Linked DNA regions of Lonchura striata. The protein of the gene in region 1 interacts with the protein of each later gene in a biochemical or structural test. Links are inferred from orthologs where the notes say so. Each region holds a gene or a part of one and is shown in the gene's direction. Other genes may lie near its edges.

Evidence for each region.
Region 2: the proteins of FGA (region 1) and PLAT form a complex in vitro, tested with the Homo sapiens proteins (2 studies listed by BioGRID). The link is inferred for Lonchura striata from reciprocal best matches to the Homo sapiens genes FGA and PLAT.
Region 3: of the proteins of FGA (region 1) and FAM20C, one has a biochemical effect on the other in vitro, tested with the Homo sapiens proteins (2 studies listed by IntAct). The link is inferred for Lonchura striata from reciprocal best matches to the Homo sapiens genes FGA and FAM20C.

The regions. Positions count from the first base shown.
Region 1 is NC_134606.1:42,247,590-42,258,188, forward strand, and holds the start of FGA (fibrinogen alpha chain), read left to right. Parts: upstream 1-6,154; 5' UTR 6,155-6,222; coding exon 6,223-6,273; intron 6,274-8,063; coding exon 8,064-8,192; intron 8,193-9,100; coding exon 9,101-9,284; intron 9,285-9,560; coding exon 9,561-9,706; intron 9,707-10,599. Other genes in the region: FGG (fibrinogen gamma chain), read left to right, coding at 337-614, 965-1,134, 1,504-1,518. UniProt on the Homo sapiens protein: Cleaved by the protease thrombin to yield monomers which, together with fibrinogen beta (FGB) and fibrinogen gamma (FGG), polymerize to form an insoluble fibrin matrix. Fibrin has a major function in hemostasis as one of the primary components of blood clots.
Region 2 is NC_134634.1:4,929,853-4,940,369, reverse strand, and holds the start of PLAT (tissue-type plasminogen activator), read left to right. Parts: upstream 1-6,250; 5' UTR 6,251-6,383; intron 6,384-8,685; exon of another isoform or gene 8,686-8,920; intron 8,921-10,517. Other genes in the region: IKBKB (inhibitor of nuclear factor kappa-B kinase subunit beta), read right to left, coding at 1-131, 379-502, 845-959, 1,218-1,412, 1,872-2,001, 2,294-2,401, 2,728-2,852, 3,211-3,300 and 5 more. UniProt on the Homo sapiens protein: Converts the abundant, but inactive, zymogen plasminogen to plasmin by hydrolyzing a single Arg-Val bond in plasminogen.
Region 3 is NC_134618.1:11,867,124-11,877,464, forward strand, and holds the start of FAM20C (extracellular serine/threonine protein kinase FAM20C), read left to right. Parts: upstream 1-6,535; 5' UTR 6,536-6,573; coding exon 6,574-7,097; intron 7,098-8,744; coding exon 8,745-8,920; intron 8,921-10,341. UniProt on the Homo sapiens protein: Golgi serine/threonine protein kinase that phosphorylates secretory pathway proteins within Ser-x-Glu/pSer motifs and plays a key role in biomineralization of bones and teeth.

The DNA.
Region 1 (10,599 bases):
TTGTCTTACATATCTTATGGACTACATGATAATTTTAGGTCTGGTTCTATTATTTTCTTTTCTATTTCTATTTCTATTATATATATGTATGTGTGTGTGTTGATAATGTGGATATTTCACACATCACTAAAGACTAGTCAGAAAATATTTCTGGTACTGGAGCACAAAAGTTGATTACACCTGTGTCACTGAGCTGAGGCCCACAGTCGCATAAAAACAGTTTTGAAGTGCTAGGATGCAATAAATGCCTTTTCTGCAGTTTTAACACTGATGCATTTCTCATTTGTGCATGAGCTGTGCAGCATGCTCATATTCAGCACTGCTCTCTGTTCACAGCACTGCTGACTACGCTGTATTCCGAGTGGGAAGTGAAGAGGACAAGTATCGACTGACTTACGCCTACTTCATCGGGGGTGACGCCGGGGATGCCTTTGATGGATATAATTTTGGGGATGACCCAAGTGATAAATCCTACACCTACCACAATGGCATGAGGTTCAGCACCCATGATAATGACAATGACAACTACGAAGGCAACTGTGCTGAGCAAGATGGATCTGGGTGGTGGATGAATAGATGCCATGCTGGCCACCTCAATGGCAAATATTATATAGGTAAGGTGTCTTCTAAGTGCTTGTAGTCCAGGACACCACATTTCAGTGACAAAGGAAAATGAGTCACATTTATAGACTACAGTTTGCCTTCTAGATTTCCCAAAGCTGGCATAGCGCATTCTTTGCAATAATTGCTAACACCAGTAGTTGGAATTTATGACTGCTCTCCATTCCAAAGTGGGATAATCAGTCCTATTTTTGAGAGAAACAAAGCAGGGGGAGAAAGGTGATGAACAGGGTCTGTTAGGACACCCAGGGATGCCATGGAGGTGTCAGGACCAGAAAATGTATGGGCACAGTAACTATTTTAGAAAGCATCCAACTGTTTTGCTCCAACTGGTGTTTCTTAGGTGGTGTGTACACATCAGAAGATGCTGGTCCATCTGGATTTGACAATGGCATTATCTGGGCAACCTGGCGTGACCGGTGGTACTCCATGAAGAAATCTGCAATGAAAATCATCCCATTCAACAGACTGTCAGTAGATGGACAGCAGCACAACTTAGACAATATCAAACAGGTTCGACCACAGGGCCAAGGAGATATTTAAAATGAACACAGAACATTGTAATAATTTTAAACACTGTGTATGGGCAGCTGAAGTTAAACCCACTGCATCTTAGAGAAGTTGGCTTTGTTTACCATTTTGTCACAGAAGTATTAGTACTTTAATTTTAGTGCACCTTCTACATTACTATATCTTTTAATGGATAGGTAAATGGATAGTCTCATGATCAGGAATAATCCCTTGCCTTTGTATATTTTAAATGCTTCATTTTTAATTCCCAACTAATACAACTATGTATGAACACTATCAATGTGTCATCATAGCCTTATATACTTCTTTCATTAGAAGAACATTAAAATACTCTTTTTTTTTCTGTTTTAGGTTGGAGACGTATAAAGGATGGTTTGAAAAAGACCAGTTGGAACAAGAAAAGCAAATCTTTTTCTTAGACACTGAACTTAGCAAACATTACACGGTTCAGTTTTGACTATAAAGCAACATTGACTGTAAGGCCCAAAACTCTTCCCTGAGCAGTGCATACCTCTGTAGATGGTTGGTTTTTTTGGTTTTTTTTCTGTACACATTCTCAATAAATTTTTGATTATTACAAAAAAAGTCTGAGTTTGTTATCTGTGGTCTATAGCCGGCCAAAAAAAAAAAACGAAACCTTTGATAGTTGGATCAAACCTACTTGACTCAGTCATTCATGAATTTCACACCATCAGTTCCTGCTCTTTGTTTAGAGGCATGTGTTCAACCTATTTCTTCATAAATGTGACTAGTATCCATATGTTTTCAAGTCTTCTAATAAAGTTGTTTGGTGACAAAGATCAAAATACATAGCAACTTGAAATAGCCTATTTTACTGCTGAAGACTATTTTACTTAGCTTACTACAAAGTAATGAATACGTTTTCAGTTGGGATGTGCTAAGTAGTATTAGTGATCAAGAACGGGTATTTTACTCCAGACCATACATATTAAGTTTCTCAAATTTTACAAGGAATAAGTTTCATTTGCTATATGACACATAATCGTACAGTGTACAGCTATTATTCCCAACTACTCTTCTTTTTTTTCACAAATATTTAAAAATTACTTCAACATATTCAGTGCCATTCAACCAAAAAATGTTAAAATTTGCATCAGAAATTGATTGCACATTACTTTCTTTCTCTGGATCTGATAATAATTCCCCATGTGATTCACATAAGCAAATCTGCATCACAGATCATGGCCAGCAAAGTTTGCAATGTTGTCTGAATGTACCTCCTCAAAATCTGATGAGTGCATTTGAGGGGTGTGCTAGCAAACCAAATTAGGTTGGTGGATAAACTGCTCAACAGATGATATATCCAGAGCCAGAAACCATCACTACCTCAAGCTGATGCATTAAGAAGTGAAATAGGAAGTGTGTCCCAGTCTTTATTTTTAGCTGCCTATGAAAGACCAGAGGTTTGCCTGGTATTCTCTAAACAGCAAATTCAAGTGCTTTATTTTAGAGACAGGAGGACATTGCAGTGATAGAAGAGACCTCACAGTCAGTTAGTACTGCCTCAACAGTTTTCCAGTTTTGATGCCCAGATGTCTGGTGAGGCTGGTGCTGAGCATCTTCCTTGGATCTGATAATAAGCTGCCAAGTCCCTTTCATTTTTATTAAGATTTTGATATAGTTGAATTTTTACTCTTGGGCCAAAATCTAAGAGGAAGACAAGATTTCTCAGGAGAGAAGAAGGCATCATTAGCTAGGGTCAGATGAGGTTAACAATGGATTGAGAGATGACCCCTCCACACCACTGAACTGATATATTTGCACAACTCTGTTCACCCATGCAACCAGCCATGATGCACAGCTCACTGCCAGCCTTGACACTCAATTCTTCTCCAAGCAAAGTAGCTTTCCTGAACATTTTGTGCTGTAAGGCCTCTCCTGTGCCTCCATGGAGCTGAAGCAGTATGTGTAGAGAGGCTGGAGGGAAGGATGAAAGGGAAGGGTTGGCAAGCCCAGTCTACTCCTTCTGCAAACAGCCACTTGAGTAGCATTGGTTGAGTCCCTTCCACTTTCTCTTTCCAATTTATGCCACCTATGACATGACTTTAAGTTGATGTTATTTATATATTTGCAACATGGATTTAAAAAATTATTCCTTTTACTTCTGTCACTTTGATATCTGCATTTATACTCTGCTAGATCAGAATTGTTATTGACATTCCTGGTTTAGATTTTGGCTGCAATTTGATGGCAATCTGCTGTAATTACACACATTTCATGGATATGAACTGGCATTTTATGGATTGCTCATAATAACTAAGATTGGTTTATTCTTCCAGTTGGTTTGCTGATGGGTGTCTTTAAGTTTTCACAAATAATTTTAATTTCTGGAGAGGAGCATTTGCTCCAGTGGTCAGAAGGGTCAGAGTCAGTGAATGCAAGAAGCCTGATCTTCCAAAGAAATCCTATGCCAGAGTTAATCAGGGAGTCTGCAGGATCCCAATCCACTGTTGTGTTCTCTGGGCCCTGAAAGAAATCTGTCAATCTGTGCTTCTGGAAAGCTCTGTGCTATGGTATGCAATACCCTATCTATCAGAAAGAAGACAGAAAAGACATGTTTCTTCTAATAGAATAATACTCTCAGTATTATTTTTTGCAAGCAAGTACATTGCAATTGAACTTACTGCCCCAATTTTGTATACTGAGAGCTGAGCATATTTCTCTTTTCTAAATAATTTTTTATCATACGTGACCCTCAGACTGTAGCCTATAGTAAAAGTTATCTGTATTTAGAAAAGTCTGTACCTCTCACTTTATAAAAAGTTTATTAAAGGATTTGGTGGACTTTGTTTCACACCTTGAGCTTGCAGTGACTCTTCCAAAGACCACTGTAGCACAAAACAGAGGAATCTCACTCCAAGGGCAAGGGGGAAAAAAAGTGAATGAGGAAGAGGTAGAGGAAGAAAGAATCAAATAAAGTGGATGTAGAATTTCTGGGATGTTGCATTGGGAAAATGTGGGACAAAGTGCTGGGACGGACAAGTAATGACTTCAAAAGGGTTAGGTAGTCTGAGGAGCATATGAAGAGAAAGTGAAGATGAGAGCTGAGTCTGAAGGAGAATGAAGTCTAAGACAAAGCACCAATAGACAGGTCATGAATGGGCAGGCAGGAGGAGCAGAAGGCACCACGTGGAAGCTGGTGGTAAGGCAGGAGACACAGAGAGTGCTGGGCAAACAAGGTGAGGCACACAAACCACCTCTAAATCCCAGACTCCCCAACTGTTACTGTGGCATTTAGCCAAGAGCAGGGCAGATTTAGTAGTGAACTGCCCTTCTGTCCTTTGATCCTGAATTAAAGTTAAATCCAAAGTTTATCTAGCTCTTGGCCTCCAGCCTTTCAAACAAACACTGGCAGAAGTGACTGAATGATTGCAGCATGAAAGCAGAGGTACAGGCTGAAGGTCAGTCACACAGACTCAGCCCCTGACTGTAAAGCCTGAGAAGCTCTTCCTTCACCCCAGCTTCCCGCAGCAGTTGCCTTTGCACCAAGCAGGAAACCCCTCTTAGCTTACCTAATGTTTATGATCAGATGTCAACTTCTTTCCAGTCCCTCTAGCCTTGGTGGCCAAGTTTTACTTGCACCAGCGTTAAGCTGACTGTGTTTGAGTGTCACCAGAGTGCTGTGCCATCCCTCAGGTCAGAAGTCTGGAACATGCTCTTTGACATGTCCCCTGTTACCCTGGTGACTGGTGCCTGGAACACTATCTAGCAAATTGTTACATCCTATGTTAGCATGGTTGAAAAGGCATAAATTCTTCTGGTTTATGTGCTCTTACTACTATTGTTTTTTAAGGCCTATTAAATTACAAATATAATATTATTATTTATGATCACAAAATCAAGCATCAACAAACTGGGAAAAGTTAGAACCCAAATGACATACACATCTGCAATGTGGATGCTTTAGCTGTTGCATAGACTGTAACACAGATAGCAGGACCGGATGGGGCACAGTGGTCCCTTACTTTTAGCTGATACCCTGCAGAATTTGGTGCTATTCCTGCCCTGATCACCCAGTTCCTGTGGGACCAGAGGCAAGATGCTCATGTGTCTCAGAGCTGGCTGCCAGCTCTTCCCTCTGAGCCATGGTGCTGGCACAGAGAGGCAGCTGCCAGCAATGGGATCTGCACATTGGGTGTGCTCTGAAGACTTCAGATTATCAAAATGGATCCCAAAATTAATAGCTACTTTTTGACTTAACCTTCTCACCTGGTTTCTACAACTGTGAAAAGGAGAAAGTTATGGCCAGGGAATGAATGTAATGCACCATAGGAAAATCCTTCAAGCTTTAAGCAGTCTTCAGAGCATCATCTTACAATGAAAAAGAGTGTACAGCTCTGGGCAGATGTTTGCCTGTGAAGCACCATCCCCATGCTCAGTGTGAGGCAAAAGGGGTTCAGTGGAAGAAATGTCATATGTGATCCTGTGGTAAAGCACAGTCCATGACTGTATGTCCAAGGAGAACCCACAAAGGTTGCACCTGCAATTTTTGTGCTCCTGAGCATGGAGATCACAAGCTTGTGATTTTTCACTAGACTTTTGTGTCTATTGTAGAGTCAAAAATTGAATTTTTTTCCATTTGAGACAGAGATTCTCCATGGACCTCAGTATATTATGTTCAACACCAACATGCAGGCAAAGCAATGACTTCCTTTTTCAAATATCAGCTCTTTGTTTATGCAGTTAAATGCCCATCACACTGAGTATGTGTTTTCCAGCAGGTAAGCACTGCTGGATCCCACTAGTGCTGACATACATCTTGGTTGACTGTCAAATTACAAGAAATAGTTTTAGACAGACTTTTTTTTCCTGGAATTCTTGGTGTTGCCCGCATGTCAGCATTGAACAAACTTATCTGGAGCAAATAACACCAGAAACTTGTGCAAGAGGCCTTAAGTAATCACCAAAGGGGGAGGGGGGCATGTTTGTTTTTTCTACAAACAGAAGGGAACATAATGATTAATCTCAGCTTTTCATTCAGGTTTAAATTGCACCAAAAGAGTGGCAAAGAGCATCCTTTCAGTCAGAGTTCTTGCTCTTCTCCTGAAGATGGTACCTGTGAGGATCCTCTGTGCTCTCCTGTGCCTCAGCATAGCCTGGGTATGAATTTGCTTACTTGATTCTTTTTGTGTCTTTCTATTTTGAATAGTAAGCATTTATTTAATGTTCATTCATGAGATAGATAAATTTTGTCTATCACCTAGCTTGTAAAATTCAGTGCACACACATATGCAGCAGCTTACTGTAACCACTTCATTGATGAAGTTTCATCAGTACTTTTGGAGTATCCGGCCCTCTGTAGTTTTGCTTAACTTGGTTTTGCTGAATCTGCTAGGCTTCAGGAGCAGCAAAGCAAATCCCTTAACATGAATTCAAACATTCATTGGCGATGCTCTAAGTCTTAAACATAACTAGCTGGATGCTAGTGGCTCCAGCCATTCAGAAATTTTCATGTTTATTGGGATGAATTGTGCTTTCCTTTGGACATTATTTCAGCAGGATCTTCTACCTACAAATGACACACAATACCTTTATTATGAAAGACACATTTAAAAACAAGGATTCTTATACCAGCAACATCAGCTTAAACTACAACTAAGTAAGAATCAAATTATTGATAAGGAAGGAGATAAAATTGATTTTCACCTGTGCTAATATAACTTTTATTTTTTTCCCATTGAGGACTCAGTCCATAATCTTATGTTATATTCTTTACAATTTAGTTTGTGACTTTTTTAAAAAAAGAAAATGCTTGTTTTAACAAATGACAGAAATTATAGGAAGAAGTTGGGACAAAACAGAAGCAGTCATATGCCTAAAGGACATTTTTAGATATATGTGCTACTTTTAGGAGGCACTTGGGCCATTAATCAAATAATGAATGAATCAAACTACTGAATTTGAATCTGCTGATTTTAATTAAAACATTCCAGTTCCTCAGAGTAGTTCTGACCCTGGAGATTAGAATTAAGATCACTTTCTCAGCTTCAGAATTAATCACCAATCATAATAAGAAGTAGTCATTAATATTTTCAAGCATTCATTATAATGTTTAAAAAGCACAAAAGGTGCACAGAGGATTCCAGTCAGACCTAATTATATCTTAAACACAGCTTTCTTTAATGAAAAACAAAAATGGAAAAAAAAGTTATGGCTTTTACTAAGTGATAAGGAATCTTTATTGTGTTTCGGCCTGGAATTAGCTTGTATATCACTTTTTCTTCTCAGATTTGAAAACAACCTCAGCGTATTTATTTTTCTTCTTTCCACTAACACAGTGAAATAAATTCATCACTGAAATTGTTTTTTAAATTGTGTTAGTAGCTTTCTTGCACTTTTCGTCAGACAAAACCATGCTACAAGCTTCCAGTTAGCAATTGTGATTAAAATCAGAAACACTAGTGGAAAAACTCATATATCTGTAAGCTACCTTTGTGTAGACTGAACTTGGTAAAGTGACAATAAGAATTTTGCAGTATTGCAGCTAATGGGAATAGTATTTTTTAAGTATTTATTTTAATTTTCCAGTTTCAGGCTAATTTCAAGTTAATTTTATATTTCCACACAGAACAAACTGTTTCTGTGGAATGATATTATCATAAATATATCCTGAGCATCACTAGCTCACTACATAAAAGCATTAATTTTAAGAGATCATATCTTACAAGATGTCATAACTTACAAGAGATCATAACTTACAACTTATTAATATCATATCTTACAAGAAATGTTGGAATGAAATCCTTGCAGTGTCGGGTGTGATGCTTACTGGGTGGCTGTGATTGCCACCCACCAGCCGAGCGTGTGAGGACATCAGCATTGTGTTTCTGCTCCCTCAACAGCTGTTCACTGAGCCCTGGTTTTACTTCTTCCCTTTTTCCTCCTGGCAGGCACAAGATGGAGAGAGCACCTTTGAGCAGATAGGTGCAGGAATCCGTGGTCCCAGGATTGTGGAGCACAAGTCCCCGTCCAGCTGCCAGTCTGAGAAGAGCTGGCCCATCTGCGCGGATGACGACTGGGTGAGCGACTGACACTGGGGGGAAAGGGAGACTCATCCCTGGGGCACCCACGGGCCTCAGCTGGATCAGCAGCTGGATCAGCAGCTGGATCAGCAGCTGGATCAACAGCTGGATCAGCTGGATCACTACATCAGGTGCTACAGGCCAGCATGGGGTTAGGGCTGACGTAACACTTCAGGTCGGGGAAGCCTGCACACATCTCCCGTGGGAAACAAAGGAAGGGCAAAATGAAAACAAAAGAAACAGGGAGAAGTTGGCAGTGGTGCAGAATGAGAAGAGAAAGTAAGTCTGGGAAAAAAAGGATTAAATAAACAAAGGCTTACCCTAGAAAAACATAAGAATTGTTTCTTTTCAGAATTTTGGTATTCCCACTTTTGGAGTTCATAAAAGAAAGGCACCAGAAAGAGAATGGTGACAAAAAGAAAAGAAGTAGCTAGAAATCACATACACTCACTAGTTAATTTTTAGGAAGTCAGATTGCAAGATGCCCAGTAAATGTTTCAGAATAATTTCTTAGATGTCTTTGCATATAAACTACTAATTTCTCTCTTTCTTGCCTCTTGCATCTCAGTCCTTTTCTATGCTCCATTTATTTGATGACTTCTTAGCAAAGAGCTTAAGTCTGTCAGAACATTAAGCTTTTCTGAGGAAAACTTGGCATAAAAACTTGACTCTAACATCCTCCCTCAAACTGGATGACAGACTTTTTACAGCAGATCTTTAGGAAATATACATATATACAGAAAAATCTCACCCATGAGGAACAGAGGAGAGGGGAATCTATAGGTTTACTTGTTCCACACCCCATGGTTATGTCAGGTTTCTGATTATGTGCTTCACAGATTCCATTATACATGATGTTTATTCTTGAGGATTTTAGCACAATTATTCCCATCTTTCAATTCTAGGGTACCAAATGTCCATCAGGATGCAGAATGCAAGGACTGATTGATGAAAAGGACCAGGAGTTTAGTCACAGAATAGACAAAATCAAGAAACTGCTTTCAGATAATCAAAACAACTATAAGAAGTCCAATCAGATAATTGTGGAAACTGTAAATGCACTAAAACCAAACCTGGACAGTGCTCAGGGTGAGTATCTTGTGCTCAGTTTTACTATCCAGTACTGAATTACTATTTTTTTGTAAATAAGCCATACGTAGTGAAAGTAGGGGCTGCACTGGATATTATTATCAGAACAATCATATTAATAGACTCTTAACTAGTTATCAAAGCTTAATTTAATCTGCTCAGTACTATGAGAAATATGTTCTCAATGATGTGTTTAATTACATATTTTCAAATATGATACATATTTAGCAAAGAAAAGCACATGGGCATAGCTGACTGTGAGATATTTTTTTTCAGAGCTTGATGAGACTTATGGTCGCCTGTCAGGAGAACTGAGACGGAGAATTATGACATTAAAGCAGCGAGTTGTCACTCAAGTGAACAGAATTAAAGCTCTGCAGAGCAGCATCCAGGAACAAGTGGTGGAGATGAAGCGCTTAGAGGTAGGTGTCTGCTATGCACTTCCTATTCTTTCCAGGGCTTCGCTACAGAAAGGGGATTGGTCCATTATGGTGAGCAGTGCTCCAGCTGGGAGAAAACATGTTACAACTCTCACAAGACCTGACTTGCTGAGACAAATCCCCAAATTGCTTTCTATCCATCCTGGTTTTCTCTGTAGGACCCAGCGTGAGTTCCGTGAGTTCCTAGTCCCGTCTCTCTTAGGCCACAAGGATGCTCCATCTGCTGATAATTGTTTCTATATGAAGCACTTTTCCTGGAAGGAGTTGCTGAGTAGTTAGAAAAGGGATGGGCTCTGTCCATCCCCAGTGCTGCCACTGCTGCCCACAGCTAGGGCTGGCATTAGAACCTGCGTTCCCAGGCTGCAGCCAGTTCTTCTGATGGAAAGGAAAAGTCATGGCACAAACAGTGGTTTTGCTCAAAGGCTCATTTTGCTTCCTAGAACAGAAATCTACCATTTGGATCATTTGAGAAAGCAATGGTAACCCCAAGATGTCAGACCTCAGCAGGGCCATGAGAGAGTCTTCCCCTCTCTTTGGAGGACCCATTTCTGCCCCAGTCCCCATGGACGCCCCAGTCCCTATGGACCATGTCCAACTCTGCAGCACTCCTTCAAAAACCATGAAGACACCTCTAAACTCCAAAAATAAAGGTAGCAGAGATTGGGAACCTTCTACAATGTTCTTTTCCATGGAACTCACATGCATGGTGCTATTGCACATGTTGTATTTACAATGGAAATAAGGTTATGATGACATCAAAATGGTACTTTGGAAAAGCTCAGCTGTAGGTGGGAGGTACTAGGGCAGCTCTCATCTTTCCCCTGTTCAGTAGAAGATATCCTTGCTTGAGAAAGTTGGGAAAGCTCCCTAACCAA
Region 2 (10,517 bases), on another chromosome or scaffold:
CTTTATACTTTTCCAGATCAATTTGGATGCTTGTTTTAAAGAAGTCCAGCTTTGCTTTCAGCTGCTGAGAAAGGGAGGCCATTGAATTCTTCATCTTTGAGAGGGTACTATTGTAACGCAACAGATTCATCCTGCATGGACAAGAAGGTCCGATTAGCCTCTAAAAATAAAAATCCACCAGGCTTCCTCTTACATCCAAAGTAGACACTTGAGATAGCAGTGAGGACAAATGCAGTTGTGCCAAAGGGTTAACTCTCAGCTTTTCATTAATTGCTTATAATCATGGGCTTCCCCATTCCAACAAGGTCCCATTTCTGTCTTCCCTTTCACCAAAGCACAAAGACAGACATAAGTATTTTAGAGAAACTGCCACTGTACATGGCTGCTCGCTGCCCCTGCTGAAGCCGGTTACAGTCCTCTTTCAGCATTCGGATTGTGTGCCAGATCTGACCCCACACTTTCCGCAACTGGAAAAAGTGGAGATTCTTCTTTGGATCCTGAACTGAAAACAGAGGAGGTGGGGAAAAGAGAAACATATGTATCAACATGAAGCCAGAAAGTTGTGTTATCACAAAACAGACCAAAACATTGCTCCTTTGAGGGGTATGTTACCACCTGTAAAGCCTAGAGCTGGATAACCCCTGTGCAATTCCCCCAATATACCAAAATCCAACACTTCCTTTTTTCAGTTATTCTGATAAATTGAATTAATAACAGTCTGTTTTACTGCTTCTTGATGTAAGAGCTCCCTCTACTCTTTGTACATGACACAGACTGCAGAACATGGACACTGCTCTCAATACAGACCGCCGCCCTTCACATTCATGTCAGAGAAAGTCCTTACGGATGCAGTCAACACTTTCTGGATGAGGACGCAAGGCCACCTGAGCCTCATAGGAAACTTTCTTGTTATCAAAGAGGAAGAGAAGGTCTGTGTCTGCAGCTGCAGTATCATTCACCTGCAGAAGACAAAAGACCCAACTAGGTTTTCTCAGGAAAAGCAAGCCTTGGTAACACTGTACAAAACAGCCCTCCTCAGCTAAACAAAGAACACCATAGGCAACAGGGTGCCTATGCACCTGCATAGGTACCTATGCTACAATGGTTGTCAGGTCTGTGAGGTTACCATGGCAAAAGCATGCAAGTCCTGTGATCCCAAAGTGAGAGAAGTGTCTTCTGATTCACTCAAAAGCAAGAAAAGGACTATCCAGACTCACCTTGCTATCAGCTATATGTTTAGTGACCAGCTTCTGAGAAAACAATGCAAGTCCTGCTTCCTGCAGTAGTTCCTGGTCCTGTTCTGGAATTCCTGTATCTGACTGAATCCTGGCCTTTACACTCTGCAAAGTCTCTTCCTCTGTCAAAGAGTAGGTGTGCACAGTTCCCGTAACCATGTTCAAAACATGAAGCAACTACAACAAGAGTAGCATGGCATGAGAAAGGCTGACGATACATTGGTCATCTTAGAGCAGAGATCAAGGGACTGGGACAATGACCACCAAAAAACTTCTCAAAGTACTTAGCAGACTCAAGAATTCACTCTGCAGCTACTTCCTAACATTATGGCAAAGTTCTTGTCCTCCATCAAGTGAGAGGCCACATGGCAATTAAATACCTTCACCTGTAGAATCCTCTATCAGAATATGGAACTAAGCATTCACGGAAGCTATTCACTACTCCTAATAAGCTCAGCGAGTATTTGTCCTCAAAGAAGCAAGAGAAAAGCACCTGTCACTAGCTGTCAGGAGACAGTTCTGCGAGTTTCTGCCTCACTCTTCCTCCTAAGTCTATGATTCAAGCCTTTCCTCTCACAGAATACAGGCAACTACTCTCCAGAAAACTTTTCGGGGTAATATGGACCTACTGCTTACCTTCAAGTTCAAAATGTCATCCAAAGCTTTGAAACACCCATTGGGTCCATACATAGGATCTGTACCTCTCTGACGTGGGTGCCACATTAACATGAGTTGCAGCCATTTCTCCAGCCTCCCAGACAAAACACTGAGCAATAAAAACCAGGAGGAGATCAGAAGAGGTAAAAGTGCATTTGCAATAACCATATGGCCTGTTCTGTGTGGGAGGACTAACAAAACTCCCCCCCACTTCTCTCTATCACAAATGTAGTGTTTTGAAGGCAGAAACCAAGACTATACAAGTCTGATAAGTGATAATAGTACTGCCTGTGTCATGCACTCAATTTATTCACAGATTAACACAGTAGAGCATATAACATAATCTTGGTCCTTTTGCAGAAGAATCAGTTTATCTCAGCACAGCAATTTCTAGTACTTACCTGTTCAGATTGTTTGGGCAGGGCAGACGGCTAGAAAACTTGACTTCTCCAGATAAGTCCTCTGAAACAACAATATCCAGCTCACTCTTCTGACGGACTTTTGTATGCCTAATGTAAGCAAGCACAATGGTGAAATAATTGCCTGCCTTTCCCATCCTGTAAATTAGTAGGCTCTTAAAGCTATTCTTGATAGACATAATACAGATGCCACTTTGGTTTCTGTTATCTGCCTTGCAGGAGTCAGCCCTTATCCCATAGAGCAAGTATCAGGAATGTTGAACTTGCTCAGGTGGGTCAAACTCCTGTGAAAGGGGTCAGTTTCCATAAGGGCAAGGAACATAGGGATATTATCCTCAGAATCAAGGGACACCATACTTCCTGTTTACAGGAAAGTCACATCATGCCCACTTATCACCCAGCCACAGTTCACTCACCATTGCACTGGCTGCCAGTTGGGTAGGAATGGTCGGAAGCCTGTAATGCACTCAAAGGCAAGCGTGCCAAAGCTCCAGTAATCCACTGTCACCGTATACTTCTGCTGTTCCAGCAGCTCTGGAGCCTGGTACAGTTTACACACATGAGAAAAAGCCACCCAGCTCTAAGCTTTCTCTATCCCTTAACATCTCATTAACATTTGTACAAATTATTAAAGACATTACTGAATGCTGCCTCTCACATGCTTTAATTCCCTCTAGGAGTGAGCAGTATTCCTGGTTACTGGCACTTCTGCTTATTCATAATAGAAGCAACTAGCAGAAAACCCAGTGTCAGCAAAAAACAGTCACCTTCACTTGCTTCAGCACCACAAACACACCCCATACCATGCAAGTACTTAATCCCAGCCCAAAACTTGATAACAATTAATTCTACCCCACTAGAAAGCAGTAGCTGCTCTTATACCTGAATTCCTTTCTTACCAAGTACTGCAGAGTCCCAACAAAGGATGTGCATAGGCTACCCTGATCCAACTCCTTAGCATAACCAAGGTCAATGATTTTGTGTATTAACTGAAACACACAACAGAGAATAAGAGTGCTAGACCGAAATCCTGTTAAAAGCACATCATACAGCAGAAAGAAAATGTTCAGCTCTTCAAAGCTATACAGGAAAGGTGCTAGTGAAGAGGCAGAAGTAGAAATGGGAGGCTACTGTAGATTCCTTAAGCCACAATGAATTTGAAGGTGTCATAGCACACTTAGCAGTTATGTGTCTAGTTCCTTCCAATCTTAGGTCAATCAGTACAGTGTGGCTCTCTCCTTAATAGCTGAAAGTCGAAATGTCAGGTGTTAACAGATGTCTAATACAATGTCTTAGCTGCACACAGAATACTATTCATCTGACATAGTGGCCTGAGACAGGTGTTATCCTGGGCTGAGTGCTCTTGCAGAGGGACCATGTAACTGCATGAAGCACATGCATGCTCCTTATAAGCTTACTTGTCTGTGCAGGCAGAGACAACTGCTTCCTGCTTACCCTTTGTTCTCCTTGCTGCAGCACAATGTTCTCTGGTTTCAAGTCTCTGTGGATGATCCTGTTCTCATGAAGGTATCTGAGAGCAGAAGCTGAGACACACATAAAGGAAATTTTAAGAGCATAAGTAACAGTACCTAGACAAGATCAGTAAGGACTCGGTTCTATTTATGGCTTTCACATCAAACCTTGTACAATGAAACATACCATGAAACACTAAGTGTAAGGTGTAAAGTTAGCATCATAGAACTCTGGACACAAACTGAGTTCTCTCTCTGAATGTTCCCCCACATTCTTCCTTTAAACTGTAGTAACACTGGCTAGCTTCCAGTAGGCAAGGACCTCCCCAGACTCCCAACACTTTTGGTAGATGATCAAGATCATAAAAGGTCAGTCTAAAACTGAGTCACTAAGGTCACTGCTGTATATTTGGAGAGTTGATTCAGGACTAAAAAGGTTTCTATAGCTCAGACAACTGAAGGCTACCACTTACCAATGTCAGATAACAAGATAAGAATAGCTTCTTCCCGCAAGCCACAGCAATTCTCCAGCTGGTTCAGGTACTGCAAGTAAGCAACACAAAATGCAGTCTTTCCTTCCTCTATCCTGAGTGAAGCCCACAGTCCCGCAAATTCTCAGGGATACAAGAAATTTCAGCAACAGCAATTAAATTCTCCAGAAGCACAAAATTCTATGGGGTGTGACCTGTGACAGCAGCAATTACAGCTTCATAATTAAATCAGCCTTAGCTTAATTGCATGGGAGAATAAAGGAGTAGGTGAAAAGTCACTGTCATCCCATTCTAATCCTTCTGTTTGTTCCATCCCTCTTTGCCATTTCCCCTGTGCCTGCCAATATCAACTCCAATATGAGGCCTAAAGTCTGTGTTTTAGCTATGGGCAGATTACAGCAAAGGTCAGAAAAGCCTTAGGATTAGAACTATCATGTGTTATTTCTTCCTACAACAGACAAGAGTTAATCACTTTAAGGAAGGGTACAGCCTACAGATGCACCTACCCTACAATGGTCTTGGCCATACTCATATTCTGTTGCACATCCCTTACACTTGCCCTCATTATTTATGTGCAAACTCCTCACAGTGTCACTTGCATCCAAAAAACCAAAAGAGTTTCACAAAGCACTTAAGTCTTCAAAAGCTGAACATAGTATCAAGGACCAATCCACCAACAACTGGTGATGCCATGATAGAATTAGGAAGCCTCAGGATGTGAAAGCAAAGGTTCTAAGAGAACAGAAAACCCAGGATAAGATTAGAAGCTGACCCATTCCTTGGTTACCACCCCAGGGACCTCACCTTGCGGAGGTCTCCCCCTTGGCAGTACTCCATGGCCAACAGTGGCAAGTCATTTGGTGCGAGCTTCTGCATCCCTTCAGGGACATCGCGGGCAGCCACCACATTGGGATGGTTCAGTCTGCGGAACAAAAATTAGGCAAGTAGGCATGATGTTCTGCAACTGCTATACAATTTCACATGCTCCTGGTCATCACCTAAAGTGATCACAAATCCTTTTAGAAATTAAATGAGTGAATTCTGAAGGTTTGCATATTTCACGGATCTAGCCTCATTCAAACTCCTAGCATTTCACGTGCAAGACAGTGTGTTTCTTCAACACACATGCATTACAGATCTGTCTAGAAGGTACAGCAACAACTCTTGCAAGGAGTGCAAGGCAGTCTGTTGCCACCGTCCAGAAAAGACCCAAACTGCAATCAGACCACTACACCCGAAAATGCTAATCCAACACCCCAAGGGACAGACGTTAAGGCAAGCAAAGCAGCGGCTAGGTAGCAGCGTTGTTGTAGCGCTGAGGGCACAGCAGACGAGCCGAAGACGGCAGTGTGAAACCCAAGAGTCTCACGCAGCACCGTATGAAGTTTTCTTACGCGTGAACTTCCACCCACCTGCCGCCGAGCGGACCGGGCACCTCCCGGAAGGGGATCCCTTGGCGGCCAGCGGCCGAAAGCCTCTCCCACCATTTCCCTCAGCGCACCCGTCAGATCCGCGCTCCAGGGCCGCCTCCGCCACGCGTCCCGGGGCACCGACGCGACACCGCGCAGCGACCCCTCCGCCCGGCCCGGCCCACGCGGGCACCGGCCTCGGCCCGAGAACACCGCCGCCCCGCCTCACCTCTTCATGATCTGTATTTCCAGCGCCCAGCGGTCGCGGTTGCGCGGGCTCAGCTCCTGCCGGCACTGCTTGATGGCCACCTGCTCGCCGGTTTCCTGTGGACATAGTAAGGGTGGGCTGAGACCGGGTCCGGAGCCGGGGCGCCGCGGGCCCGGCTACCGCCTACCTTGTTGTGCCAGCGGATGACGTTGCCGAAACCGCCGGTGCCGAGGCGCTCCCGCATCTCCCAGGGCCCGCAGGTCAGCGCCTGCAGCGCGGGCGGGCGGCTCATGGCGGGCCCGGCTCCGCTCCGCGGGACCTGCGCTTCCGGCTCCGGCGCCAGCGCCCGCCCTTCCAGGGGCCGCGCCGGGCCGGCGCTCGGCCCGCTCGGGGCCGCCCCGGCGAGGAACGGCGGAGTCGCGATCGCCGTGGCCGCGATACCGCGTGGAGTCAGGGGCTCGGGATGAGAGGCGAGAACAGCTCGTGGACTGTGTAAGTAAAATTAAAGAGTTGCCGTCTTCTGCCCGCAGCATCTCCAAGATCTGCCAATCCGGAACGCACCATTTGCTTTTCCCACCGCACCGCCCGAGCCAAAGCGCTATTCTGGCTTTACATCGGGTTTGGCTATTTCTTCCTTCTGGGCTGGCTGGCGTGAGTTGCTTTAATACCACTGCAAAGATGCACAACAGTACGGGGGTGGAAACTGCTCTCCAAGATCTGCCACAACTCCAGTCGCCTGCGCTGGACCTGCCAAAGCCACCGGCCAGAGAGGGTCCCGCCGAGGTGACATGGGCCTACTGTGGGATGTCATGCTGTCACACTTCGTCACTGCCATTAAATAGTCCTGCTGAAATTATCCCAAGGATCAACGTAGAGAAAATCCAGTAGGTGGTGCTTGAGAGAGCAGACACTTTATTGCTGGCTTTCCTAAAATATGTTAAGCCCTACAATGGCACCACAGTCTGTAGACAATTATAGTTGTCCTTAAGCTCTGAAAAGCCAGGAAGTAATTTCTGAAATCTTCCCCCATGGCCATCAGTTTGTTAGCATCCTTAATCTAGAAATCAAATGGCTAGTATCTTAAAAAATAAAATAAATTAGCCCCTGCTCTCTCAGCAGTGTTCAATCTCAACAACTGGAAGTCCCTTCCAGAAACAGTCAAATGCAGCTACACATCAGATTTATGGCAGTAATGTTATCACTAGCACTGTGACTCTTGGAGAAATAAATTTTATAATCTTGACATAGATCTCCACACAGATAGAGTACGGGTGTTTCATCTTTACCATTATGCAAAATAACCAGTGCTGTGTTTTCCAAACGAGGTCTCTATGCACCTGCTTCTTAAAATAGAAGTCACTCACTCCACATACTGGTTCTTACATCTTATACTAGATTCTGTCAGGAGCTTGATTGCTAGTGTATCAGTTCCAAGCAGGTACGACACATTCATCACTGTAACAATTGCAGCAATGACTGTTTTCATAACAGTGCCCTAAGTTAATCACATTTGTCTGCCACGCTTTGATAACTGAATACTCATGACCACATTCTGGTAAGTAGATCTTCATTTTCTAGGGTGAGTAATATCAGTGAACATTTAACTCTGGCCCTCAACATGCTGTTCCTTATTTGTATCTAAAGTTCTAAGAAGTTTTGCTCATTTAACTTGAAAACTCCCCTGTTTCTTCTCCTGTGGCTCTGTTCAGGGCATGCTTTGCTCCACAATTGGGTCAAGGCCTCTCTGCCTGTGGGAACTCAAAATGTCTCTCAAACATTTTTAGAGGTTCCAAGCCTTAGTCAGAGGCATTCTAGACCCTGGCAGACAGCTGAAAAACAGCTGTAACTTTGAGTTGGGGCCATGGGGTGAGTTGCCAGCTTTGGAGGTGGAACAAGCAGTCACAAAAGGTTAGATAGTATAGTAAAAGTAATTACAAAGTAGAGGGGAATTTTTTTTTAGTATTGTAAAGGGGGGTTTTAGCACATATACAGGGGGGTTTTCACTTTGTACATGGGGGTCAGAAGTTCTAAGATGGAGGAAAGTGGGCTGATCCTGTTCTTCCTCCTTCTTTTTCCTTGCCTCCATGTTCTTGGTCATGTTGGCAGTCACAGATTGGTTTACAGTAGAAAAGCACTTTGTAATATAGGTAGTAGGTATTGGGGGAAAACTATAAACATGTAATACGTAATATATCATATAAAAGATAGCAGCAGCCCTGGGCGGGGAGAGAGACGAAGAAGACAGCAGATAGAGAGGATGTCAGGGTGTGTGTGTGCCTCTACCCAGGCCGCTGATCAAATAGCCGCAGTCCAAGAACATAATCTGTTAGATAACTAGCAATAAACTGCCTTGAGACTGAACAGCTAAAGCCTGTGGAGTTTTTCTTTGGAAGCACGGGTTGGAGGAGGAATTTCACCACCATATGAGACCCCAGAGCAAGGCTGTGGTTCTCACATCTGCCAAACATTTTCATTAGGAACACAGCACACTACACTTGTGTGTGAAACAGGAGTTTCTTGTTATTAGGACTAAGTCTACATACAGCAGACTTCTGATTATATTATAAATAATACAGCTGTGCATTCATTCATACTCCTAGAAGTATAATGGGACAGGACAGTTCGTTGTAAGGGATACATACTATTTTGTCATTGAACAATAAGGTATTCAATGGGGAAGAGATTGTTTTGAGAACTAAATCTGCTCTCTGACTGGAAAAGAGAAAGAACAAAACAAACTGGCTGTAAAATCCAGCAGCATTCCAGCAAGTAGCTTTCCTCCCGTCCTGCACAGGGCTCCCTCCCCAACAATCCGGATGCCAGCCGCCTGCTTGGACCATCCCCTAGATGCTCGGGAAGGGGTGGGATGCGGACAGCACGCCCCATGGCCCAGCTCCATCAGCACGCTCCACCCCCTCAAGTGGTGCTACAAGTAGGACAGAGAGATCAGAGCAGAGACACAGGAAACACAAACCCAGACTGGTCTGGAAAGAAAATCATCAAGACTACAGAAGAGAAAAAGCAAAAAGGTAGGCACTACTCTGCACCTGTTTCAAAAAGGGCATTTCCTGTTTTCAACATCAATGGCATTGTCATTAAATACTATTAAATATTATTATTTAATAAATCCCAATTTAATAAATGAAGTACCATGATAGTTAACTAACTGAACTATTGCCTTCCTGCTTTTGAAATAATTCATAGCGTAGGTAAAGATGCTAACTTTCAGTTGTTTCAAGAAAGCTGAAGCTTTCCAGGGAAAGGGCTGACATGCCTTTTTGTTCACATTTGATAAGTGACAGCTCTTTTTTAGGTCTTATTCCACATAGGTAAGATAATGCTTACATTATTACTGCTTAGGCTGTTAGTAATAATAGGTTAATATGTGGGATTTTAAGTGTTCCTGTTGACGATGCTTCAGCAAAAAGAGACAAATTTAAGGTATAATATAGTGTTCTATCCTAATGTATTTGAAAGTGTAGAATCAAAATGTCAGAACATCACATCTAGGTCTTTGACTTATTGGTCTAGTATTTTTGAGAGGCCTACCAGATGCACACTGCTTGCCGGTTTCTGCTTGGAGCCTTGTAAGCATACTTTTCAAACAGTCAAATTATTTCAATTTGACGGCTTTTCATTCCAGTTGACTGGCCTAAGTTGTACCTTTCCCAAAACTGAAAATAAATGTATGGCAACATCTGTTACCAGTTTTCCATGCATAGTGGGACAGCAGCTATCAGTGGATGGACAGGAAGAGGTGGGGGAAATGCTGCAGCGCTATAAGCTAAGATAGCCTGAACAGGGGCAACAGAAATCAGTGGAAGACAGGATGTGACATCTAATGTAAAACCACTTTAGAGAGACTATCTACAGCATTTTGCAGTATAAACACTTGCTGTGTATGGCTAGAACCTACTTGTACAGATGAATATATGAGTTGAACTTGATTAAGCCATGCAGGTGCTTTTTTAAATAGAGACTCCTCATGTCAGTCTTCCAGGCAAAGAAAGTATTAAAAAGACATTTTTAAGTTTAAACTACCTGCTGGTTTCAGGTACGTAGGACTTCTTCCAAGATATCAGTTAGGCCAGCTGTCCTCCCAGACAAAAAAAAAAACCCAAAACAAACAAAAATACCCCTTATGTTGTCTTGTTTTGGGGCATCTTAGCAGGTACCTCAGAAATAAGGTCTCAACAGTTCTTTACTGTGCTTCCCAGGCAGGAATTCTAACAAGGCAGCTCAGCTGTGATCTAAGTAGTTTCACTGAACAAAGCTTTTCTTGAAAACAAACGCCTTAGCTACCAGAATTCTGTTTCTTGCAGTTGTAAGAACTTCAAGCCTTTTCCACAGATAACAACAAAGATCACCTGTGATACCAACAATTAGCAAGTTAAAACATTGCTACTGTGGGATTCAGAACACAAGCCTGCATAGATGTAATATGGAACCACAGCTGCACGGAGTAAGGATACTACGCAGGGTTATGGCAGAAACCAAGCAACTGGATGGCAGTTCAGATCATTCACTTTGACTTTGGGAATGCTACTGATTTAGTTCAGATTGAATTGAAGTTGAAATTGAATGCTGAAAGTCAATTAATTGAAAATCACTTGTACCATTTTTAAA
Region 3 (10,341 bases), on another chromosome or scaffold:
CCCAGTTTCACTGAAACTTATTTTATTCATCTACAAAATTATTTTATGTGTAATTTAGCAAGCCATGTTTTCTGTGCTTTACAAAGAATCATGCACTAACTCAGGAAGTCCACAAGGAACACAGGCTATTTGATCACAATTACTTTTAGAGGAATTAGTTGCTGTAGAAGATGAAATTATGATAACTCAAGCAGTGCATACTCTTATGTCATGCACATCAAGATAATTTGTTTTGACTTGGTCTCAGGAATAATTTTTAGATAAGAACACAACCTCCTAACAGCTAATTTTCTTTCTAACATCCTGCCACTCAGGAAGGTAATTTCTCAGCTCCTCTGTAATGCAGCTACATGCAAGATCACTACTCCACTTGAATGCCTGCAGCAAATGTGATCCCTCCACAGGCCCAACCCCATCACTCCAGCACAACAAGAATTTTGTTCTGGCAGGGCCAGGAAGCTCTTTGTTCCAAACAGGGGAAGAATTAAGCATTGTGGCCCAGATCCTCAGCTGATATAATTAGATGGCATTTCATTGAAACCAGGGCCAGCTGATACCAGCTGAGGAGCCAGCCCTTGCTCTGCAGCAGCAACAGCTGAGGAGTAACAAACAGGCAGGGAAAAAACCTCCTGTTAGAACAACCAGCTCAGTGCTTTCAGCAGGTTGATCCAGAAATCCCTGGGGGTTTAATTCATCCAGAATATTGTATCCCAAATTAAAGAATGGTAGCATTCATAAGCAAAAGGCTGGAGCTGGAAGCTTTGGCTTTCTGAAATCAGTTGAGGCTGGTGATGCATTTCACACAGAGCCCCCCTTGCCCTGATGATCTGACAGGACCAGTCTCTCCTTTCAGCTCTATTGAGCTCCAGCTTGCAGCTCAGTGCCCCTTCAGGCAACCTTGGCAAAGCCACCATGGGAAGGAGCAGGTGACTACACAGCCTCTGTGATTTGAGAGTGGAGGTTTGCTCAAGATTCATTAAAAAAAACCCAAAACAACCAAATATGTAACAAAACCCTGGTCCAGAAGGCAGGGAATCCAAAAGGGATTAGTATGCATTGTTGAAAAAATATCAACACACCACTTGAAATGTGTGTTGCTGATTCTTCATACACAGAAAAAGCTGACAGGGAAATCAAGCTTATGGAATCACCTCCCGTTCAGTACCAAGTGTATTCCTTAGCAATAAAAGTGATTTTGGCAGTGTGGGAGGTTAATATGCAGTACCCATCAGAGTGCCAGTGTAATCTGTGTTTATAAGGCAAAGCACCAATAAATTAGGTCAGCACATGAATCTTCTGAGGGAGGAAGGAGAGGGAGAGCAGGAAGACCTGGGCAGGAAGGCCACAGGGGCCAGGTAAGGCATGTGATGCCCCCAGGACTTGCAGCATCATAGACAGAGGCTCTCAGCTAAAAGAAAATCCATTTTGCCATTAGAAGTAACAATAAAAATATTACACTGATTCAAAGTGTGCAATCAGGCCTGACTTACAGCTTGCCCTGCTGCATTCAGGCTTTACATCAGAAGGCTGTAAACTGTTATAGCAGAAAATAATAGCTGGGTATGTTTACTCACCCAAAACCATGCTTCATTTATTTACCTGAATACACTATCACGTACACTGACCATTGTTGCTGCTCAGCCAGGTAGGCAGACAAAAATGGGGAAAATAAATATCTACACAGATTTCAGCAGCAGATAAGGTATTAATTCTTGCACAAAACAATGAAGAAATGCCAGGACATACGACAGTAAGCCCTCCTGAATTCTTGACTGTATTATTCAATAAAAGCAAAGGTAGAACATGCAAAGAAGTGCTGAATGCCAATTTGTAATACCAAATTAAGAAGCCTGTTAGATCCGAAGCAATCCTGGCTTGTGATTGCAGCAATTCAAAGTGAAATTCCCAATAACATTCAAGTACTTCAATAAAAGAGAGGAAAGATTTCAATTCAATGACCAAAAATAAAATAAAGAGTTGATGTAAATGACTTGATTTCATTTATATTATTGAAATGAGCTGTATGCAATGACTTATTGATGTAATAATATTCCATTAGGAACTTATTATTTTCTTGTTTACATAATGCCAGCAATTACAGGGGTAATACTGGTCCAACACACAGCACAGCAGAAATAGAAAGTTCTTTGCCACATATTGGAATTCCACATGAAGGTGTAGAGTTTAGTTAAGGAGAAATATTTAAATATTCCTTACTATGACCAAGTTAACTTGCAAAATTAAATAAACAGCTATCTTCTAACTAAGAGTTGGCCAGATCAGGCATGATTGCAAAGACCCTGTGGCTCTATGCACACGAGTTTGGTACTTAAAAGCCTGTTTGAACAATAATCAGCAGTCACCAAAAATTTTGGGGGTTTTATCAAGACTTGAAGGCAAATATTTGAAGCCAGAGGAGGTAACTTGCATGCAAACATTGCACTGGAAGGGAAGGGGCCAGGGCCTCACAGTACATGGACAGGAATGTAGGGCTGAGCTGGCTGGACAGAAATCCCCATTTCTTCCCTTGCAGCAGAAAAAGGGAACCCTTCCCTAGCAGGGCTGGATCACACAAGCCCCAGATCCCAGCACAAGCACAAACTCTCTGGCACCAAGCCCACACTTGCCATGGGCTAGCAATGAGGTTGTCCTGGGGAGCTGCACTAGCCCTGGAATACCTCAGACCTGGTCCCTGAGTCTGCCTGCCACCCGCCACCCAATTTCCAGGCTATCCTGACCTGCAGCCCAGCTCCTGGCTTCTCCCAGTGGTTTCACACACCAACAATCTGAGGCTTCCTCACAAGCCACCTGAGCCCTCCCAACGCAGCAGCTCCTTCCGTTCCCACCTCCCTGGCCAGAGCACCAGGCTCTCTGCCAGCCCCACGGGGCCACCAGCAGGAATGCCAGTGTGAGACTGGCAGCAATTTTGTGTTCCCAAACATGATTTAGGGAGGTGAGAGGGCACAGTGACTCCGGGACAAGAGCAGGGCTGTGTTCTTGCAGCTGCTCCTGGGAAAGGTGTGTAAGAAAAGAGGTGGGCTGACATCCTCCTGGTGGGATGGGCTGCAGGGGGAACCCACAGGGCTTTGGGGAGAGCCAGCTGAGCTCTGCCTTCATTCCCTTGGCTTCACCAATCTCAGCTTAGAGGCACAGAGGTGCTGTAACACACTGCTGGCGCTGATCATTACCAGCCTTCGGGCCAGGGGAAGAAAGGCTCAGGAAACAAGGAATTATGCATTTCCCATTGTCCAAAGCAAAGCTACAAGCTCACTCTGTGCCAGAGTCCACCAACTGGCCAGTGCATCTTACTTCACAGATGACCAACCAGTGGCCAAAGGCATTTGTAGATACTGAGGTTGAGAAATGCAGAGACATAAGACAGATCTCTTTTCATCTTTTATTCACATTTCTGAGGGCACTTTGGTCTGGCCAAAACTTGTCCACAAAGGCCAGTTACAGAAGAAAGTACAGTACATCTACCAATCTCACATCCTGAGATAAAATTCAAATGTTGAAAAGACTCAAGGAATAAACAGCTTGTAGAAAACAGGGAGATTCAGTTTACAGGCAGACACAATTTAGATGAAACCATATTTAACTAAATAGCCAACATACACTAAAGGTCACACTGATAAAAACAAAAACATGTCATCTAGAGGAATTAGTTTTTGTTCAGAGTATTGTCATTTTCACCTCTTGAAAGTCCTTTAATTAACTACATCTAGTTGCTTGCATTATATTACAAAGCCAGTCTCCCTTTCATTGTACAGCTCTTACACATGGAGTTACAACGTTTGACATAATGTTCTTTTACTGTAAAGTAAATTCAAACAACTTTAACTTAAAGAACTCATTTAAGTAATTTTCAACTTTCTCAGCAGACCTGTTCAGTTTCACCCTCATGTAACACCATAGGCCTAAGTTTTAGTAGGGCCAACACTAAGAAAATGCAGCTAAAATGTGCAACCTACAAATTGTACTGTTCCTTGCTAAAGGAGATAAAGTGTTATATTATCTATCCCCACTTGAAGTGCTACAAACAGCTCCGACCAGAACTCCTTAAAAAGCCACAGTAAAGTGTAATTTAAGTGATACACAGGGAACCACATACCCTGCACTCACCCCTGGCTGGCTTCTGCTGCCCTCCTCCATCAGCCACAAAGCCAGCTGTCCAGAAAGTCTTTGTCCAAGCTGATCTTGGTGAAAAAAAGTGGGAAAAGACAGAAAGCCTGGCTTCTGGCTCTGCAGCAAAATGTTTTTCTGTGACTAAGTGCACCTGTACTTGAAGGATCAGGGTGTATCTCTGGACCCTGGGACTACAAAGTCTCCCTACTCCCTAGGACAACAAATTTTGTCTCTCCACAAAGGTGCAGAGTAGTCCATAGGATCATGGCACTATTAGGTCTTCTTTTTTTTTTTTTTTTTTTTTTTTTTTTTTTTTTTTTTTTGTATATCAATGTTTTTTTCCTGCTGGAAAGTCAGTGATTTCCCTTGTGCAAAACCTGGTGACAATGTAACACTGCACAGATGTGCTTCAGAGGAGTGCAAAGCACTGGGATCTGCAGAAGTGCCAGTAAGGGAACAGTGCTGGATGGAGCCTGGTGGGTGAGGAAAGACTTTTTGAGTGGAGGAAATACTTTGATGTGGTTTAATGCAGGGAAAAATGGACTGCCATATTCAGAAGGGAGATGATTCTGTGGAAAGGTGGTGGTGGGTTGGGGTAAGCACTCCATCTTTCTCAGTCCTCCTACAGCCCAACTCAACAACCTACTATGGACCACAGAATCCAGGGAAACACTGTCCAAAGACAGACATCTGAGCTCCCCAGAAATCAGACATGATCACCTGAAGAACCAGGAACAGCTTGTTCCTCCCTCCAGAGTGCCCTCGCTCTTAGCTGCCAGCAGCACTCTCCGGGCTGTGCTAGCCCTATGGCCACTTCCATTAGCCCACTGGGCCACCAGCCAGGGAAGCGGGCAGCAGCTGCGGGGCTGGATCTCGGGTTAGACAGGCCGGCTGCTCCGGGGGAAGCGGGCTGAGCCTGCCGGGCGCGGGGCGAGCTCAGCGGGCGATGCGCGCTCGCCAGCCCGGGCGGTGCCGGAGCGGCAGCGCCGATCCCAGCCCGGCACCGCCGCCAGCGCAGATCCCTCTCTCCTCTGCCGCTTCGCTTTTTTTCCCCCTTTATATATATATATATTTTTTTTCCCCAAACCTTTGTGGAACAGACGCCCTCTCCTTGCCCCAGTTGGAGCTGCAGTAGAATGAAAAGAAGGGGGGGGCGGGGGTGGGAAGGAGGGAGGAGAGGAGGGAAAAAAACCCTCTTTTGGTTGAGGTTTTCCTGTTACTATCACTGTAGCGTTTATTTAGCCAATCTCCTAACTATGACGTGAGGAAGGCAGGAATCATGGCTCGCTCATAATATTTAACACACCCACTGAAAGCTGGAGCTGCAGAGCTACTAGTCCAACCAGTCTCCAGAATTCAGTGTAGCTGAAAGAGGTTTTCACTCTGCACCTGCCAAAGATCTCTCCCCCCTTTTCCTTCTCTCCCCCCTTCTCTCTTCCATTCTCGCTCTCTTTAAAAGAAAGATCTGTAAGACCCAGCAGAGATCAAAGACCTCTTCGCTAAAAAGAACCTCTACTGATTTATATTAGTTTCTTTCCTCTAATCCTTCCTTCTCCCCCCTCCTTTTTTTTTTTTTTTTCTGTACCATATTTAACCTTTATGTTGCAGTTGTGCCATCAGACAGTTTTGCAGCCAAAAAAAACCAACACAAGCCAAAGCACAAGCCCAGCTCGGATACAGCAGCCACCCAGACTCGATCTCAGTTGAACTTACTAATCTCTCCCAAGCACTGGACGTGATGGATGAAGAAACTGGAACTGCTCTAAGAAAATGATTTTCCAGCCAATGTTCTTAAAGAGTCTGAGAGAAGAGAGGGAGCAAGAGCGAGCGGGGAGCGCTTCTGCTGCATCACTGCTCAAATCCAAGGGAAAGGAGTCAGCGTTTCCAGCACAACCAAATATTATGGATGATTTTTTTTCTTCTGTCGCCTTTCCGTACAGGTTTTCTTAATATTTTTTATTTTCCCCTTCCTCCTCCCCATATTTTTTTTTTACATTTTATTTAATCAGCGCCTGTGTCTGATGCCGGTTTCTCTCCGAGAGCCAGTTTTCCCTGTTTGTCGTGATCCCTGTAATAAAAAGAGGGAGAAATCGTGAACAGATGGCTTTCTATATTACCATGCCGCTGGCATTGTTTTCCTGTTGATTTTAAAGGCTCGGTCCGGAGCTCTTTTTTTTTTTTTTTTAATTTTTTTTTTCCCTTTTATTTTTTTTTCCCTCTCCCCTCCCAAGTTCTTGATGATACTGAGACATGAGGACCTATCGGGTTTAGCCTGTTTATTTCCCGGCGCCTATGGAGGTAACTTTATTGACTTGATCGCTCGCTTGCCGACCCGAGAGGAGCACGCCGGAGTCCCGGGGGGGGCCCGGCAGCCCCGCGCCCGCCCGGGCTCTGTCCGCCGCCTCCCCTCCCTCCCCCTCCCCCGCTAATTCATCAGCCGCCCCGGCCATGAAAATGCTCCTGGTCCGCAAGTTCCGGGTGCTGATCCTGATGGTGTTCCTCGTCGCCTGCACCATGCACATCATGATCGACCTGCTGCCGCGCCTGGAGCGCCGCGGCCCCGAGGGCCGGCCGGGCTGCTCCTGCCCGCCGCCCGCCGCCGCGCCGCCCCGCGCCGCCGCGCCGCGCTGGCCCGGCAAGCACACGCTGCGGATCCTGCAGGACTTCAGCGCCGAGCCGGCCTCCAACCTCTCGTCGCAGTCGCGGGAGGCGGCGGAGCGGGCGGCGGGCGGCGGAGCGGGCGGCGGAGCGGGCGGCGGGGGCGCGGCGGCGGCGGCGGGGCGGGCGCGGCGCTTGATCGGCCCCGGGGCGCCGCGCCCGCCGCCCCCCGCCGGCAACGCCGCCCCGCTGGCCGCGCTCTTCCAGCACCCGCTGTACCGCGCCGCCCTGCCCCCGCTGGCCGACCGCGACCTCCTCTTCAATGTCAACAGCGACATCAGGTTCAACCCGCGGGCGGCCGAGCAGCCCGAGTGGTGAGTGGGACGGGGGGGTGGTGGGGATGTGGCGCGTCCCCCGGGTCGCTGCCCTTCGGAGGGGAACGAGGGCTTTGGGGTGGAAGGTTGAACGGAGCGTTTCGGGGTCACCGGGAAAAAGAGCAACCGTTCGCAGGCTCGCCCGGCCGTGTTCCTTCGGGAAATGAATGCCCCGAAATGCAGAATAAACACGGGAGTAGGGGAAGGCTGGAGCGCTGAGGCCAAGGGGTCGGTCTGCCCCATCTCCAGCTGCAGCCGAGGCTGATGCTGCCAGAACGGTGTGAGGAAGAGGGTGAGCTCACAGCGAGCCTTCCTCTCCAGCACCTTCCCAGAGCTGAAGGGGCTGAGCAGTGAGGCCAGACAGTAATACATTAACCCTTCTCAAAAGCAGGCTCTAGTGCCACAAAGGCATTCATCCTGGCAGGTATTTCCGCTTTCAGGATCTGATCTGTGCTACATTTTTCATCCTCAATTAATTCCCAGTGCCCTGCACCTCCGCTGCTCTCCAGCCTTCAAAGCAGTCAGTTGCCTCTGTGAATCGTATGCCCTGTTGGCTCCTAAGAAATGCTGAGAAATTCAATGACTGAAAAATCAAAAGGGTTGTCTAATACAACAGCACCCTCTTCCAAACACAGTGACATTGTAATGTTTAAACAGCTGCATTGTACCGTGCAAAAGCTCTGTCAAGCTGCAGAGCAGCCAGCATGATCTAAACCTTTAGAAAGAGAGGATAAATAATTCTGATTTCCACCCTATGAGCATGTGAATTGTCCAGGCCCGTTCCATCTAATAATCCTAACTGACTGTGAAGGGAAATAACCTGGAAAGTTTTGGGCTCTCTGAAAGAAGAAGGAAAAATAAAAAAAGTCACAAATGCCTGAACATCTGGAGATGACTGTAAACACAGAGAACTCTGGATCAAAGATATGGGTTAGTCTGTTCAGTAGGCGAAGAGTGAAATCAACACTGATATTCACAGTGCAGCTGCCTGTTGTACATATTTTCCTTAGTGGCTGCAGCCAAGGTTCACAGAACTAAAGTGAAATTCAGAAGGTAGTGATCATTTTAAATAATTCTTTGCTGTGGTAGGTTCCTACTGCTCGGGAAGGGGTACGACCAGCCAATTCCTCTGACTGCCACTTCAGAGTGATGCAGTTTCTCTCATTCTCCCTCTTTAAGGAGGAGGAGGGACTGGGCACCACAGCTCAGGTTCTGCTGCACTCTTGGTTTCCTGCCTCATGTCCCTGTTAAATAAAGGTTCAGGACAATGCTGTTATTTGAACCAGACTTGCAGAAGCTGTGTGCAGCATAATGGGACCTAAACACAAGTTAAAACTTGAGCTCTGTGTTTGTGCTATAGAAGGGCCTGTGCCAACGCTCAGTGATGCCCCTCTGAGTTTTGCTCCTGACTTTCATGGGTGATAAGTCAGGCAGGATGAGGGGAAGTGGGAATCCATCTCCCCCTGGCCCCAAGTGAGACAAGGCTCCTGGTGCAGGGAGGAACCTGGGACCTCTCTCCCTTCTGTAGCGCCTTGCCTCTCCAAGTTGTCACATTTTGAAGCCCTATTTCTTGATGTGTGCTACAAACTGTAACATTATTTCTTTCTCCTCAACTTTGGGTTTTTGTTGTATTGTTTTTGGTGGTAGGCAAAATGAAGATCATCATGAAGAATTTTTGCCAACTGGAGAAACCTCCATAGACTCCTACCCAAACTGGTTAAAATTCCACATTGGCATTAATCGGTATGAGCTGTATTCCAGGCATAATCCTGCAATTGAGGCTTTACTACAAGACCTTGTCTCCCAAAAGATAACCAGTGTTGGTATGTTTGGATATTTTTTTTTTTACCATTATTTGCTCTTTGTTCAGGATCTCACTGCTGTTTGAGTATTAATATTTTGCATGGCTTCTCTCCAGCATCCCTGCAACTTTGCTTTCCTACTTCCCTGCTCATTTTCCCTGCTAAACATAAAGAGATATTGCCAGCTCTGTATTACCTGAATAATTGCCAAGCCTCCCAGCAAGGCAAACCCCGTTCATGTCAGAGATCCTTTAGTCACAATCAGGCTGAAAGTGCCCTCTTCAGTTATTTAAAATAAATACTCTGACAAAAAAAAAAAAAGGATGGCAGAAAGCAGACAGCATCTTGCACGAGCTAGCTTTGTATCAGTGGCTGATTATTATTTCAAAGGCTGTGCCTGGCAGCCCTGCCTTGCCGAGGGAGGAGAGGCTGCCCTGCAGCCCTGCTGCGGCGGCAGCGCTGCGGCTGCAGGAGCTGCAGCTTCCCCAGGCATGGCAGGCAGCTGCGGGCAAGCCAGCCTCCTGCTGAGCACAGCTCTGCCTGTTCTGCCTGTAAATCCTCACCAGGGATGTGCCCATGTCAGCCTTTGGCTCTGGTTAAACAAGGTGACGCCGTGCGGGGCTTTTCTCCAGCCTTGTTTAATGGCAGCGTGTGTCTTCTTGAATTTAGCTGCGTAGCTGCACAGGGAAAGAAGTGGCACAACCTTAGATGAAAGCCCTGGGATACTAAACAAGTGCACACCCCGTGGTTTCCAAAGGTAGGGAGTTGCAGCACAGGCAGTGGTTTCCATCCACCGGGCAGAAAATGGAGTTACTTGTGCTGACCACAGAGTTGCAAAGTCCCTTTCAGAGGGATGAAATAGCAGGAGCTCTGTGAAAGTGCTGATGGTGTGTTGGCCCCGTGGGATGAGGTCAGCAGGTCTTTAACCCTGCAAGGCAGAAATTCCCCTGGCTTCAGCAGGAAATGGTCTGGGCAAGAATAGCTCAAGCAGCCCTAAGGTTTACATTTTCCATTGTGTGAATCACGGCGGAATAAAGGAGATCCTAGGTCATCAGGAGTGGGCTGATTTAGGTGGTTGGGATGGAGTAGGTGTAAAATGCAAGATGCCACAGGAGACCTTCAGCCCTGTGAATCTGGCTGTGTGTTGGCTGTGCTCAGTGCACTGCTCTGCTGGAGCAGCACTTTGAATAAAGCAGTTTGTGGTACCCAGGTGCCATCCCACATGTTGGATTCAAGGCTCCAGTGGACTTGTAGCTCAGGAAAGAGGACAAACATGGGTTTATTCATTAACCTGTGATGGGTTTTCTGACCCCAAAAGTCTGGACTGAGGTGACTCATTAAGGGGGGGTCATGTTTGCTAATCTAGCCCTGTGTTTTCCCTTCCCTAGCACAGAGGTGACACTGCAGGTAGCAGCAGACTGCCCATGCTCCTCTGGTGTGCA